2 linked regions of the Danio rerio genome follow. The protein of the gene in region 2 purifies or fractionates together with the protein of the main gene of each other region. This does not show direct contact. Links are inferred from orthologs where the notes say so. Each region holds a gene or a part of one and is shown on either strand. Other genes may lie near its edges. The genes, in order: mlx and mlxipl.

Evidence for each region.
Region 1: the proteins of mlxipl (region 2) and mlx purify together in Homo sapiens (affinity purification with western blotting; 3 studies listed by BioGRID and IntAct, counting the BioPlex papers as one, with this or other methods). This does not show direct contact. The link is inferred for Danio rerio from reciprocal best matches to the Homo sapiens genes MLXIPL and MLX.

The regions. Positions count from the first base shown.
Region 1 is NC_133178.1:36,006,882-36,015,372, reverse strand, and holds part of mlx (max-like protein X), read left to right. Parts: intron 1-689; coding exon 690-729; intron 730-2,163; coding exon 2,164-2,253; intron 2,254-2,723; coding exon 2,724-2,833; intron 2,834-4,386; coding exon 4,387-4,489; intron 4,490-4,588; coding exon 4,589-4,688; intron 4,689-8,491. UniProt on the Homo sapiens protein: Transcription regulator. Forms a sequence-specific DNA-binding protein complex with MAD1, MAD4, MNT, WBSCR14 and MLXIP which recognizes the core sequence 5'-CACGTG-3'. The TCFL4-MAD1, TCFL4-MAD4, TCFL4-WBSCR14 complexes are transcriptional repressors.
Region 2 is NC_133180.1:4,380,969-4,389,459, reverse strand, and holds part of mlxipl (carbohydrate-responsive element-binding protein), read left to right. Parts: intron 1-1,177; coding exon 1,178-1,260; intron 1,261-1,335; coding exon 1,336-1,455; intron 1,456-3,303; coding exon 3,304-3,431; intron 3,432-4,463; coding exon 4,464-4,587; intron 4,588-5,678; coding exon 5,679-5,808; intron 5,809-7,574; coding exon 7,575-7,699; 3' UTR 7,700-8,491. UniProt on the Homo sapiens protein: Binds DNA as a heterodimer with MLX/TCFL4 and activates transcription. Binds to the canonical E box sequence 5'-CACGTG-3'. Plays a role in transcriptional activation of glycolytic target genes. Involved in glucose-responsive gene regulation.

The sequences.
Region 1 (8,491 bases), on a different chromosome or scaffold from region 2:
ATCCTCCTTCCCACATGACCCTAATCTGTCTTTCCAGAGCTGATATTGAAAACAAATCACTGCCGAAACAAAAACATTTATTATTCTGAAGGTTTATTTGAATAACAGTCTGTTTAAGCTATGTTGTTGATAGTATTAAGGAAGCTATGTAACAGATGTGCAAGAGTTGAAACCGCTAAGCTAACTTGCTTGTTGGCTACATTGACTATATCTGGATGTGTTTCAAAACGTATGTAACTGCCTATCTAGGCTGACAGTTTATTTGGCGCAGACAATTCGTTCGAACTACCGAACCGACTCCCTTGAAGGACTCGATTCTACCAGGTTCTTTCTTTTGTTTGTTTGACCCTTTGTTTGATTTCTTTATTGTCCCTTTTTTAACGTTATTCTCTTCATACGCACTAAATAAAGTACACCCTCATTTCCACACGCTAATGGCACTGTGACAATATGGCAGTGATTGCTCAATCTGAAAGTTTTGAGACACAATATGTATGTAGATGAAATATCAGCTTTTAAAGGGATTTATTTGGGACACATCACAGTAGGGAGTTAGATGTGTCCTAGATAAAGGTGTAAGGCAGGACAGGTCACTCAGCCTGTGTTTGGGTTGGTTATCAACATCAGTGTGTCTTGTTTTGACTGTTTTTTCTGTTTGTCTTTCTCCACCTCCTGTCACCATGTCTCAGCAGACGGATGGCACCTTCAGTGACAACGGCTTTGACCACAGTAAGTAGATCAATAAGTCTCAACTGTCAGTCGATACCAAGATGAAAAAAATGACTTTAATAACGAAAATCAGAAAGGTTATTATAGCAAGCTGTCTTTAATATTTCTAGAAATATATCTAATGTCATGCTACCTGTACTTTTTGATACTAGTATCATTTTAAGTACTATTACTTATTGATACATGCATTTCTACTTAAACATAGAAGAAAACCTCTCTCATAGAGAGAAACATAGTTTAGTGCACTGTCCTGCTCCTAACGTTTGTGTAATACTTTATTTTTAAATTAAGTGAACTATTTAGCAGTTTTGACGCAAAACAATTTAGCGCTTTTGTCATTTATTAATGATTTATTAATGATTAAAAAGTCTGTCGATAACTTGTGTTTGTTTGAATATTTCTTTTATTCTGAATTTTTTTTGCCATAAAGATAGCCAGTAAATCTGACATAGCATTAAATAAAAGATGTGAAAAGATACGACATTAGTACTCATTAATTTGTACTTTTTAATAGATAGAAGTACTTTTCATTAGATACTACCTATTAAAGCATCTGTTTATAGGTACCAGTATGTAACGATAAAGCACTAGAGTCTAAATAATAGAAACTAGTGTCAAATAATCTTCAATCAGTGTATAAAATATGTCACATTTGGAATACATAGTTGCCAAAACTAGATGTACATACTAGTGAAAATAGATCCCTATATACAAAAATGGAAACTATGTTAAATTAGAATAACAGCCCCCCTCTTTATTTTCCCCCAATTTCTGTTTAACAGAGAGATTTTCTCAACACATATCTAAGCATAATAGTTTTAATAACTAATTTCTAATAACTGATTTCTTTTATCTTTGCCATGATGACAGTAAATAATATTTGACTAGATATTTTTCAAGACACTTCTATACAGCTTAAAGTGACATTTAAAGGCTTAACTAGGTTAATTAGGTTAACTAGGCAGGTTAGGGTAATTAGGCAAGTTATTGTATAACGATGGTTTGTTCTGTAGACTATCCAAAAAAAAATTGGCTTAAAGGGGCTCATAATTTTGACACTAAAATGGCTTTTAAAAATTAAAAACTGCTTTCATTCTAGCCGAAATAAAATGGATAAGACTTTTTTCAGACGAAAAAATATTATCAGACATAATATTTTTTGCTCTTTTAAACATCATTTGGGAAATTTTTAGAAAAGAAAGTGATGCACTAGGGTAACAAGGTTATTAGTTCTATAATAGTTACTTAAAGCTAATATATTAATTACAAACATGCACGTATGAAAACTAATTCTATCATTCTATTTTTTTTTTATCTATAAAACTAACACTAGTATTAAAAACTGTTTGCTTTGTTCTGTGCAATATTGGACTTACCAAACACATGACAATTTTATTGAAATATTTACATTTTCCTTGACCTCCATATCTCTAGGTTTTTTTGCAGAGAGCGCACGTAAAGGAAGTTTGGTGTCTAGAGCCAACAGTATCGGATCCACAAGTGCCTCTTCAGTACCAAACACAGGTGATGATACTGCTATTTATTCAGTGTCAAACATAGCCGTTTGTTGTGTATATCAAACTCTTTACTCTGAATTTCCCATTGTTTCCTGTTCAGAATCACAAGGTTATTCATCAGTCACCTTTCACTGTGAATGATTCATCCATGCATGCATTTTATTCATTCCCTTTTCCTTCTTTTTATTATCGTCTTAACTGGATTTTCCTTTGGTGATTTTGCATGACAGACTTCATGTATATTTAAATACGTTTTAAACAGCTGACTTGTTATAATCTTTTTTGATAATCCACTTGAGTAACAGAGTGAATGAAAATGTGTCAATATTTCCCTATTATCTGCATTTTAAGATGGACAATGAAATACTTTTGTTATCAATTTAGTTTATTTTGTTTTGTGTCTTTTGCTTCAGTTTTTTTGTGTGATCTTAATGACTGCTGATGGCTAACAGATATTTGTTCCTCCCATTGGTTTAGATGATGAAGACAGTGACAACAGACATGAGACGCCTTATAAAGAGTCATATAAAGACCGCAGGAGGCACGCACACACGCAGGCAGAGCAGAAACGCAGGGACGCCATCAAGGTATGTGTGACGCTTTTCAGGCTAACAGACAGACACATGGAAAAAAGTAGCTGACGAAATAAAAGTCTTTTCTGGTTTATTAGTACACTAGTATGACAAACTAGAGTAACCAGTTTGGTTTGGATTCAAAGTAGAGTGATCATTCTTTTTGTAATTGACTTTAAAATACAAATGCCCAGTCTTAAAGGGGAAAAAAGGTGATGAACGTTTTAAGAATACAATAAGCAGTTTATACAACTGACCCTGTTGGAATTGCTGTTTCTTCTTTCTCTTCTTTTTCTTATCCAGAATGAATCGCTATTTTGTTTAGATTTTGATCTAAACATGCCCGAAAACTCACAAAACATTGCATCTGCCCCAGAAGTAGCAAAAATTTACGTTTGTTATAGGTTTCCGAAGTGGGCGTGGCAAAATGACATGACAGCTCCACCCATGCACATTAAACAGACTAGCCTCCAAGCTACGATTCACGCACACATATTAAAACTGACAGACCTGCCTGAAAATTCTCACGTTCGATAAGATTCCTCTCCTGAAGACATCTGCATGCCAATATCGAGTCACAGTCATAGCACCACCTGCTGACAGAAGGAAGTTTGGCATATATTGATGATTTCTGAATTTTTTTTTAGATATTTATCAGCTTAATATATTATTGTTCGCTGTGCTCTGTCATCCTGAGGCCACCGAGTGGTCCCAGGTCCCTTTCATTGCTGCTTGCAGCTTTAATTTGACTTGTGTTTACTAGTTTAGGAAACATAATAAATCTAAGAAATAGAAAAAGGTAACACTTTCATTTAAGGTGTCCATATATATGTTCCACTACTTACATATACGTACACCAATTATAAAAATGAGTTAGTTATGCATAATTACGCACAACTAACCTATATTTAGTAGGTACATGTAATTAATTGACATGTAAAACAGTAGTTACATAAATAGTTACACTGTAACAAGGACATAAAGAAAATGTATCAAATAAAATCAAGAAAATTTTGTGCTCATTTTATGGCGGCTCTTTGGAGGGGACCTAAGTAGGATCATTATTATTATAAAAACTATTATTGCTATTATGATTATTTTAAAGCTCTACGTTTGCTGTTGTACGTCTGTTGATATGTTTTGTTGATTTGCATCATTAGGCCACAAAAAAATACAAAAATAAATCAATTTCACAATGCTGTATATTATTGCTACTACCAGTTAAGTGAAAGAAATAATAATATTGTAATATGTCAATGTAAAAATAAAGTGTAAGAATCAATTTAATTTTAGCAGTTGTAAACGTATGTTATAATGTTTATATTAAATCTTAATTACTTTTTATTTTTAAAACATCAGGCTTTTATTTTGCTGGAAAACTACAGCGAGATTAGCACATTGTATTTCCAAGTGCAAAACCCAAACTCTTGGCAGATACTAAGATGAGTTGTGTTTACTTTGCACCAAGCCATTGAAAACCCTAAGTAGCTTGCTTATAAAATAGCACAGTTCTGCATGTTGCAAGTTTAACTCCTTCAAATTATCTCCATGGATCTTTAATCTCACAGAAAGGCTATGATGACCTGCAGTCTATAGTGCCTACATGTCAGCAGCAGTCAGACTTCTCCATGGCCACACAAAAGATGAGCAAAGCTACAGTCCTGCAAAAGAGTGAGAACCTTCAATACCTATTTATATGCTGTTGTCATCTTGTGTGGAATGAAAAGGCTCAGCAACTTTATATGTGTGTGTGTGTGTCTGTGTGTGTAGCAATCGACTACATTCAGTTTCTCCACAAAGAAAAGAAGAAGCAGGAAGAGGATGTTTCCACACTTAGGAAGGAGGTGATGGCGCTGAAAATTATGAAAACGTGAGTAGTTGGTTATTTAGAGGGGGGCCGGAAACATTTTAACAGCTCATGCAGACAAGTATAGATTCAGTTACACTCCTGTAGGGCTTTTTCAGGTTTCATAAGGCTTTATCTGACACCATCATTCTTCTGTTAAGAAAGATAAAAAACACCCTTTTAGGAGAACAAAGTTTTCAACCAAAAACAACTATTTTTAAGAGTTTTTCCTGTTCGTTTACAAAACAGCATTTTTGGGGACTAAAAATGGGTCACAAGGTAGAAGTTTTTGAAAACGCTGCAATTGTTGAGTGTGTGTAAACGCCTGAAAAAACAATCTTTGAAATTTATGACGTCATGTGTGCTGAATGGTATGCATTTAGTGTAATGTAGATTAAAGACAAGCACAAACACATAACATTGACAGAGTATGTGGAGGTGTTGTTGTTTGCTAACAATCCATAATCTAAGTGTCGATTTACTTCATATTACAACTAAAAGTGGAGACGCATCTTACACACACACACTGCAAATTTTATGTACACACCAGCAACAAGCTGCCAATGACCTTTTGTCACTTCCTTAAAGGTAGCACTAACAAGTAGACCAAATACTGGCCTGGCATATGTAATACAGTCCTTTTGTAAATGTGTAAAGCAGTGGTCACACTAGAGTTTGAGGTTGCAAAATTCTGTCATATTACGCTGTGAAACTGGGCAGGATAAAACAAGATGATTAAGACATCAAATTATGGAGCAATTGCTTGCTTTATGAAATTTCAGTACAGAAAAGTCACGTTTGGAATGGATCATGCAGTTACGTGATGCGATTTCACAGGTCAGGGTTCACTGAACTTTTGAACGCAGTGAATCTTGTTGCAGGAGCTTGTGTTTCTGGTCTGTTGAATTTGCATGCGTTTGAAAGGAACTCACTGTACCGTTCACACTACACGACTTGATTTTGTGTCTTTAAATCGCTGTGGTGTTTACACTACGCAACACTACCTAAATTATCCACAAGAGGGGGTCACACACTACATGATCTGACAACAACTCGTTCCACAACAGCTCAGTCAAGCACAGCCAATAAAATGTTGAGGGAGGAGACAGCAAAAAAAACTGAACACTATTGGCTGCTTGAGTGCTGATAACATCACTGACCGTAGCTATGTTTCCATCCAAAAATGCTAAATAAATTTATGCGCAAAACTGGATTATTGCATAAAAAATATATATGTATAAAGCAGCGTTTCCATCCAACAAGTCAAAGCCAACAAAATTGTCTCTTCTTGATTATCTGGCACCAAATATCAACAGTAAAAACGGAATTTGCTGCGGTAGGAGAAGCTGCGCGAATCTTTTCATTTAATAAATGACTTGCACTTTAGAAGGCAATCCCGACACGCAGTGGGCGCGTGGTGAAATTTGAAGGCGTGAGACGTGGAGCACTTTTCTAAAAGCTTTAAAGGAAATGTTTAAAAATATTGTCAGTCAGCTGATGCATCAGCAGATCAGTCGCTCATTTGCAAGGTTTACTAAAAGTGAGGTCCAGGGGCCTGTTTCAGAAAGGAGGTTAAGTAAAGTATTTTAACCCTGAAATGAGGGAAACTCTGGGTTTTCCGTTTCAAAATGGCAGGTTTGTCAAACTGGAGAAACCAGGGTAAGTCAAGCCTGTTTCTGAAAGAAAGGTAACTTTAACTCAGAGTCAGTTACCATGGTAACTTACTCTGTGAACCTAACCTGGTCAGAAGCAGGTTTTATTCTCTAAACTCAGAATTTCTGTTGGTCTCCTCCCTTTTTTAAAGATGAAGTGTTTTTTCTCGCCGTAGCCTTACGTTTCCACCCACTTTTTTGATGCTCATATTTAATATGTGCCTAAAAACGATTGATGGACACGTCATGATGCACATAAGTTTTGAAAATATGCATAAAAACACATGCATAACTGAGTAGGAAAACCTTTTATTCGATAGAAAATATGCGCATAAACTATGATGGAAACACTTTTACTGAACAAATTACAGTATGTGCATTAAAAAAGGTTATGATATGATGATGAAAATGTGTGTAAATGGACAAACCAGCAGGCTGAGCACACTACACATCTTAAATGTTGTTTTGCTCATTTTAAAATGCCTTAACTGTTTCAGTATTAGCGTATATAATTAATTACTTCCGATCATCTGGAGCGTGTTAAGAATCTCCGCGTCTCATGGCTTCAAACGCCCCCACGTGTTCACCGTGTGTCAGCATTGTCTTCTGACTCTGAGGCGCAAGTACATTTATAAATAAAGAAATAATTGACAGCTTCTTCTACCACAGTAAATTCTGTTTTTACTGTTGATAATTAATCAGTTAATCAGGAAGTGACAATTTTGTTATCTTTGACTCGTTGGATGGCAACGCTGCTTTATTCACATCTTTTATGCAATATTCCAGTTTTGCACATAAATTTATGTAATATACTTGGATGGAAACATACATTGCCTACATTTTAGTCACACACAGAACAAAGTCACGTACGAGAATGGCTTGTCCCTTTTTAAAAGCATAAATAATTAGCTTAAATTTACTGACCTTCGACATGTACTGTTACTAGATTAATGGAATTATTATTCTTATAACATTTTTTTCTAGTTCTGCTTACCTTCTAAATGTTATATCAAACTATCACTTGATCAGTAAAAAAGGCAGACACACAAGTTCACTGTTAAATCAATTAATACTTGATAAACATGTATAAATGTTTAGAAAAAAATATAATTGTCAAACATTACATTACTTATTTTATTATACTTAAATATTTAAATGAAAAATTACACATTAACTTGAGCAGCTGTTTTCCCAGGCTGTCTCTGTTTCACTGATGGTTGCTTCGTTTTAAATATATACACTCATATTTGCTATAACTTTGCATCATCACATCAAGTTCAGCTGGAGAAAGAAATGCTGATCTCTTTTTTTAAGATGGTGCCATGGTCACCCGTAATATCTGCCCTCCATTAATAATGCCTTTTTATAGTCACGGTGTGTGAGCTTAACTCTGAGTTGATCTACTCAGCTATTCTGAAACCCAAAACTTTGAGTTTTTAATCTCTCGGTAAATCAACTCAGAGTTTAAGTTTAAACTCTGAGTTGTTTGAACCTCCTTACTGAAACAGGCCCCAGATCTTTGCTGGTGTTCAAGTATCTTAACTAAATATTTATAAGCTATATTACCAAAAAGATATTTTTACAATAATGGTGTCATAAAATATGATGACAGACATTCAAAGCTTAATTTTAAAATCTCAATAGAAGCTTTGAATGTAAATATGATGTCTTATATGAGAACGGTCAGAATGAATGCTATGGTAATTCTGAAAGTTATAGAATTCTAGTTCCACTGTTAATATTTTAGCCTTATCTCGTGTCTGTGTAAACATACAGAGTGAGGCGAGTGCATCAATGCCCGTTCTGGCCAATCACAGACATTTCTGTTGAGCTTCTGAGCACAACAGCCATTCAGCTCATGCTCATATGCTCACTCATTGGCTGCAGCTCGTCACTACATCTGACCGCACATGGGGTTGAGTCGACCAGCTGCTCTGGAATATTCAGCACGCTAGATATTGGATTTTCGTTTGCGAGGTGTTGGCTACGCATCAGCGAGCCTCTTTGATGCGCCATTCGGTTGTTCACACATAAAGACTGCCAAGCGCCGAGCACCCCCAGATTTTTTCCTGATCACAGCCCGATCTGTTGGCAGGCTTGTAACTTTCAAATCGGGTTCAAAACAGGCTTAAAATCCTGTAGTGTGAACTAGGCTTTAAAAGTACAGACACTAGC
Region 2 (8,491 bases):
ATAATAAATACTACTGCTAATAATGATTATACCAAGCCAAATTGAATGAACTGAAAATGCCTTCCGAGATGAAGAAGACATAAAAGTATATAATTTGAAAATAATTTGAAAATAAAAAAATCATTTGTTTTGTAATTTTTTAATCCTTTATATTTATATACACATATATATATATATATATATATAGCACGTCACTCCACTACTCATCCGTTTGCACTGGCTGCCAGTTGCTGCTTGCATCAAATTCAAAGCTCTGATGTTTGCTTACAAAGCGACTTCAAAGCGACTTCACTTTCCCGAACTCTCACATTCAATCTGCCCAGTTGGTGGAATGAACTCCCTAACTGCATCAGAACGGCAGAGTCACTCGCTGTCTTCAAGAAACGACTAAAAACTCAACTATTTAGTCTCCACTTCACTTCCTAATCTGCAATTGCCTCTCTGGCTCCTCCACTAACTACCAAAAAAAATTACTAATGTTGCTTCTTAGACTTTACAGACCTGAAACTTGCCTACAGCACTTATTCATTGTTGCTCTTATAGTTGCGTAAATTGCTTCCTTTTCCTCATTTGTAAGTCGCTTACTTAATATTTTAATTCTTTTTCATTTGTAAAGATATTTGCGTATTGCTCTACATCTTAAGCAGTGTGTAAGCAAGGCACACAATTTACGCACTCTGCGTTGGACAATAGACCGGCTTTGTTCTGGTCTAAAGAACCGACTCTTATAGTATCTCAAAATAGCAACGCGCCAAAACACGCCTGCTTTTTTAGATCAGAACGCCTATGGGCGCACATATGAGTGCAAATGCATTTGCTATTTAAACAGCGTGGCACAAAACGTCAAAATGACCCTTGCGCCGAGCTGAAACTAGCAAACAATTGCGTCGCGCCTTGAGCTACAATGTGCCGGGTGTATGATAGGACCCTAAGGGTCTTTTCATACACCCAGCGCAATAAGACGCTAGACGTGTTTGGCGCGTTATGTTGCTATTTTCAGAGCAGCACAACCCTAATTTTCACATTTTACATTTTGCGGGATCGAATCTGTATCGGTCGATTCTCAGAATTTTGTCAACAGGATCGGATCAGTTCCGAAAAAATGATATCAGTGCATCCCTAAAAAATGTTTTCATCCAGAAATGAGCATCAACACAAATGTGTTTTATATTTGCAGTTAGTTTTCCAGGAAGCATGGGTCAGACATCACCTACCAGTGCAGCTGAGAAAAGCCCAGAGTCAAAGTTGGAGTCCTCACGAGTAAGTTTCTGCTTAAAACATTTTATAAGCACACAGTTTGAGTTGAGTCTCTTACACATCTCTATGATCTTGCAGACAGACACACGACGGATCACACACATCTCTGCCGAACAGAAGAGACGGTTCAACATCAAGCTGGGGTTTGATACGTTACACAGTCTGGTGACGACTCTGAGCTCACAGCCCAGTATAAAGGTAAAGTACACTGCCTTCAGTCACTACAATACCTGACAAAAGTCCTGACTATGCAAGTTTTAAGAACGACAAATAATAACATGACTTCTAGTTGATCATTTGGTATCAGAAGTGGCTTATATGAAAGGCAAAGGCCTCTAGATTACGCTATTTGAGCACAATTAAATATGATCATGCCTTGATTATAATTGATGTCATTAGGACAGTAAGCTCTGACTCTGCTTAGGCTAAAGTCTCATCACTGAACTGAAATAATGTCCAGTATAGAATATAAAGTCCTGCTGCAGTGGAGAAAGAATGAATATTGTGTCTGACTCCATCATGAGCTTGGAGGACTGCATCCATACATCTCTGACATGACTCAAATCACTGATTAATAAAGTCATCTGGAATGAAGGAGAAAGCCTTCCTGCAGGACTCCCAGAGTTCATCAAGACCCTTTGTGTATATCTTCAATGCCTCCTCCTTCATCTTGCTCAATAATGTTGATATCTGGTGACTGGGCTGGCCAATCCTGGAGCAGCTTGACCTTCTTTGCTTTCAGGAGCTTTGATGTGGAGGCTGAAGTATGAGAAGAAGCGCTATCCTGCTGGAGAATTGTCCCTCTCCTGTGGTTTGTAATGTAATGGGCAGCACAAATGTCTTGATACCTCAGGCTGTTGATGTTGATCATCCACTCTGCAGATCTCTCGCACACCCCCATACTGAATGTTACCCCAAACCAAGAGTTTTCCTTCACCAAACTTGACTGATTTCTGTGAGAATCTTGGCTCCATGCTGGTTCCAGTAGGTCTTCTGCAGTATTTGTGATGATTGGGATGCAGCTCAACAGATGATTCATGGGAGAAATAGACTTTCTGCCACTTTTCCAAATGATCTAGTCATGAAGTTATTATCTGTTGCTCTTACATCTGAGATTGACGACGAGACTTTTGGTAGGTAGTGTAGACCTAAATAAAATAAAGTAAACTTTGTCTAAAATGGTGAACATGCACACATGCTTGAAGTGTGGCTGCAAGGGCATCCGCTTCATATGCTGGAGTAGTTGGCGGTTCATTTCACTGAGGCGACTCCTGATAAATAAGGGACTAAGCCAAAGGAATATTAATGAATAAATGAATAATATACACTCTTCGTCTATGCAAAGGTATTTCAATAAATTTTACAAAGTTTTTAGATTATTATTAATACTTACAGGTTGCATTAAGTACACTTTAGCTGTGCTGAATTAATAGAATTTTTTATTTCTAATGCATCTTTGGTGTTTTTGCTTATACTTTTTCACACAGGGCTATTTTGTATTTTCATTCATTCATTCATTTTCTTGTCGGCTTTCGGGTCGCCACAGCGGAATGAACCGCCAACTTATCCAGCAAGTTTTTACACAGCGGATGCCCTACCAGGCGCAACCCATCTCTGGGAAACATCCACACACACACACACACATTCGCACACACACTACGGACAATTTAGTCTACCCAATTCACCTGTACCGCATGTCTTTGACTGTTGGGGAAACCGCAGCTCTGGGAGTAAACCCACGCGAAGGCAGGGAGAACATGCAAACGCCACTTGGAAACGCCAACTGAGCCGAGGTTCGAACCAGCGACCCAGCGACCTTCTCGCTGTGAGGCGACAGCACTACCTACTGCGCCACTGCCTCGCCCTATTTTGTATTTTGTTTTGCCTTAACTATAAAAAGTTGCATTAAAAAAACTGCATGATGTGTTTACTTGTGTCACCTAATATTTAACTTTGTTTGATGATGATCTGAAACAGACTACTAGCTTCATTGGGTATTCTTGGTTCCTCGCTGACACTTTTTCCTGTAATTTCTGCGGTTCACAGATCAGTAAAGCCACGACTTTGCAGAAAACGGCAGAGTACATCAGTAAGATGCAGCAGGAGAGAGCACAGCTTCATGAGGAGGCGCAGAGGCTGAGAGACCAGATCCTGGCACTCAATTCCGCCATCAAGTCAGTGTAATCCAACTCATTAAAGTTCTTATTATTGGGAAAATGTGCCCAGGGCTACATATTTGAGAACTGAGAAATATGTGCTTGTGGGTACATACAGTTGAAGTCAGAATTATTAGCCCCCTTTGATTTTTTTTTTCCTTCTTTTTAAAATATTTCCCAAATTATGTTTAACAGAGCAAGGAAATTTTCACAGTATGTCTGATAATATTTTTTCTTCTGGAGAAAGTCTTATTTGTTTTATTTTGGCTAGAATAAAATCAGTTTTTAATTTTTTAAACACCGTTTTAGGGACAAAATTATTAGCCCCTTAAAACTATATATTTTTTCGATAATCTACAGAACAAACCATCATTATACAAACACTTGCCTAATTCCCCTAACCTGCCTAGTTAACCTAATTAACCTAGTTAAGCCTTTAAATGTCACTTTAAGCTGTATAGAAGTGTCTTGAAGAATATCTAGTCAAATATTATTTACTGTCGTCATGGCAAAAAGAAAATAAATCAGTTATTAGAGATGAATTATTAAAACTGTTATGTTTAGAAATGTGTTGAAAAAATCTGCTCTCTGTTAAACAGAAATTGGATAAAAAATAAACAAGCGGTCTAATAATTCAGGGGGGGCTAATAATTCTGACTTCAACTGTATAGCCAGTGTTGGGGATCATACTTTGGAAATGTAATAGATTACACAAAATTTAATAAGTAGTGTACCTTTTTAATTGCTTTACGTTAGTAAAGTAACATCTGATTACTTTTTAATTACTTTTAAGTTTCTAATGGATATTTTCAACTAAATCAATTTCAAGCAGATGTGACCTTACAGTAGCTCAGTTTACTGTTATCTCTCATAACCTGAATTAGGATTATATTAATTTAATTTAAAGTTCAGCCACCACAAAACCAGACCTTATTACAAAAAAAGTGTTTACTGTTAGTACAAAATCAAAATTGTACTTGGAAAGTGTGATATGTGTGATAGTCCAGAGGAGACGTTAACACTAATGCATTATTTTGAAACTCTGTTTAGTGTGTGTCAGCAGCAGCTCCCCGCTACAGGCGTTCCAATAACACGGCAGAGGTTTGACCACATGAGGGAGAAGTTCAGAGAATATGTGAGAGCTCAAACGCTGCAGAACTGGAAGTTCTGGATTGTATCCTGCAAAGCTCTGTGTCTGTTGAGGAACCAATGAACCCATACTGCATGAAAAATACTGCTAATAACACATTATAGCGAACTACCTTTAAGGCAGGGGTGTCAAACTCATTTTAGCTCAGGGGCCACATGGAGAAAAAGCTGTTCCCAAGTGGGCCAGACTGGAAAAATCATGGTATAGTTAACTTAAAAACAGCAACTTAAGATTGTTTTAATATGATCAACATAAAGCTGGAGCCTGAGCACCACACAATCTCTTAGCAATTCATAACTTTTTGATTTTTTTTTCTTTCTTTTTTTGGATGCCCTTCCAGCTGCAACCCATCTCTGGGAAACATCCATACACATTTACCCACACACACTCATACACTACGGACAATTTAGCCTACCCAATTCACCTGTACCGCATGTCTTTGGACTGTGGGGGAAACCGGAGCACATGGAGACTCGAACCAGCGACCTTCTTGCTGTGAGGCGACAGCACTACCTACTGCGCCACTGCCTCGCCCTGTAATAGTTCGATATCTTGAGTTATATGATGTATCTTATCATATTATTTTCCTGTTTGTCGTTATTACATCACGTTCATAATATCACGTCACGTGGACCCCTCGCTGTGCTGTGTTTTATAAAACCCATTTCTAAGCTGGTGTTGGGCGGCATGGTGGCTCAGTGGTTAGCACAGTCGCCTCACAGAAAGAAGGTCACTGGTTCGAGTCCCGGCTGGGCCAGTTGTTATTTCTATGTAGAGTTTGCCTGTTCTCCTTGTTTTGGCGTGGGGTTTCTCCGGGTGCTCCGGTTCCCCCCACAGTCCAAACACATGCGCTATGGGTGAATTGAATAAGCTAAATTGGCCGTAGTGTATGAGTGTGTGTGAATGAGTGTGTATAAGTGTGTCACAGTACTGGGTTACAACTGGAAAGGCATCCGCTGCATAAAGCACATGCTGGAATAGTTGTTGGTTCATCGGACGGTGGCGACCGACAATTGGTGCGCTTCCAGAATGTTTTGTGAATCTAGTCTCTAGCATCCAAAAACATCAGTGCTGGTGAAAGTGCTTTATATTTTCCTGAACTGCTGTTCTCTCAGTTCAGCATCATCATCGAGCCGCTGTTCGAGTCGTTTAACAGTATGGTTTCCACAGCCAGTGTTGATGATCTGTGTCGCAGCACGCTCTCCTGGCTGGACCAGCACTGCTCTCTGCCTACACTCAGACCCAGTGAGTGACCGCTTACTATTTCATTTACCTCAAAACATTTTACTGCCGTTTAAACTACATCCATAAACAGTTAAAGTCAGAATTATGAGCCCCTCTGTTTATTTTTTTCCCAATTTCTGTTTAACGGAGAGCAGATTTTTTCAACACATTTATAATCATAATAGTTTTAATAACTCATTTCTAATAACTGGTTTATTTTATCTTTGCCATGATGACAGTAAATATTGTTTGACTAGATATTCTTCAAGATGCTAGTATTCAGCTTAAAAAAAGGAAGAGTAGGTTAAAGTTTGGGTGATTAGGCAAGTCATTGTATAACAGTGGTTTGTTTTGTAGACAATCCAAAACAAAAATTGCTTAAGGGGGCTAATAATATTGACCTTACAATGGCTTAAAATAAATTAAACTGATACTATTTTAGCCAAAATAAAACAAACAAGACTTTCTCCAGAAGAAATTTCATAGAATCACATTTGATGAATAGAAAGTTAGTATAGCATGTCATTAAAACAGAATAATGTTAATAACAGAATTAAATATTTAGATGATCATTTATTCGAATAACATCATTTTTACATTATAAATGTCTTTACTGTCAATTTTTATCAATTTCATGTATTCTTTCTGAATAAAAATACTACTTAGTTTCAATAAAAAAAGGTTTAAATAAAATATCATATTAAAAAAATCATTAATAATCATTTAGAAAGTTAGTATAGCATGTTATTAAGACAGAATAATGTTAATAACAGAATTAGATAATTAGATACTCATTTATTCGAATAACAGATTTTTTTTGACATTATGAATGTCTTTACTGTAAATTTTTATCAATTTCATGTATTCTTTCTAAATAAAAATACAACTTAGTTTTGTATTAAAAAGTTAAATATCAAATAAAAAAATCATTAAAATCATTAATAATCATTTAGAAAGTTAGTATAGCTGGCTAACCATTTTCATGTTTTTTGGGCTTGCCCCAAAAATACAAACATTCTAGTGTGAAATAGCGACTAAAATAAAAAAAGATAACTGGAGAAGAATTGGAGTACTCATTTATAACATTATACCTTGGGAAAATTCTAGAAATTATTCCAACTATTGACAAGTACTTAATTCAAATCCTTTTGGTAAGTAGCAGAAAAGCCAGAACTCGAAAATAGTTTTCCTCTTTCTTTTCTCTAAATAAAAAAGTAAAAAACAAAAAAACAGTTAGTATAGCATTTTATTGAAACAAAATAATGTCAATAACATAATTAAACATTATTAGATCATTTATTTGATAAATAAAATTACTTTTTTGACATTATAAATGTGTTTACTGTCATTTTTTATCATTTTTTTGTTTTCTTTCTGAATAAAAATACAACCTAATTTCTTTTAAAAAGTTTAATTAATTTTAAAAGTCTGAGAAATTATTAAATAATTTAAAAAAATAATTAGCTGGCTTTTACAACGGCATTTAACATGCTTATATGATTAGACATGAAGTCTAATCTTTAAATATAGGTTTAATAGTAGTACTTCTTTTTCTTTCTGACTCTATCAAGTTTCATTTGCTTTATTGGCATAACGTGTTTTAAGTATTGCAAATTCATTTGAACTATTTATAAAACTGAAATGACTTGCATTATTAAAATAATAAAATATACAATAAATGAGAAATAAATGACTGAAAAAAGGAACAATACTAAACAGTGTAGATTACTTAAATAAGGAAAATGAATTCTGTGGATTAATAATTTCTTCTGTCTCTCTTCTTCCAGCTGTTTTGAGTTCACTTCGTCTGCTCAGCACTTCCACATCAATCCTTTCAGACCCAAGTTTGGTTCCTGAACAAGCCGTCCAGGCAGTCACTCACGGACATTCATCGCACAGCTACAGCCAATGACAGCACACGCTCTCAGAATGACAGCCAATCAATAAACTTTGTCCCGTAGATACAGCCAATGACAGCACATGCACTCAGAATGACAGCAAATCAAATAATTTCCATCTATAGATACAGCCAATGACAGCACACGCTCTCAGAACGACAGCCAATCATAAAGCTTCATTCCACAGCTACAGCCAATGACAGCACACTCTCCCAGAATGACAGCCAATTATAAAACTTCATCCCACAGCTACAGCTAATGACAGCACACGCTTTCAAAATGACAGCCAATCATAAAGATTCATTCCACAGCTATAGCCAATGACAGCACACGCTTTCAAAATGACAGCCAATCATAAAGCTTCATTCCACAGCTATAGCCAATGACAGCACACGCTTTCAAAATGACAGCCAATCATAAAGCTTCATTCCACAGCCAATGACAGCACACGCTTTCAAAATGACAGCCAATCATAAAGCTTCATTCCACAGCTATAGCCAATGACAGCACATGCTTTCAAAATGACAGCCAATCATAAAGCTTCATTCCACAGCTATAGCCAATGACAGCACACTCTCCTAGAATGACAGCCAATTATAAAACTTCATCCCACAGCTCCAGCCAATGACAGCACACTCTCCTAGAATGACAGCCAATTATAAAACTTCATCCCACAGCTCCAGCCAATGACAGCACACAATCTCAAAATAACAGCCAATCATAAAACTTCATTCCACAGCCAATGACAGCACACACTCTCAGAATGACGGCCAATCATAACACTTCATCCCACAGCTGCAGCCAAT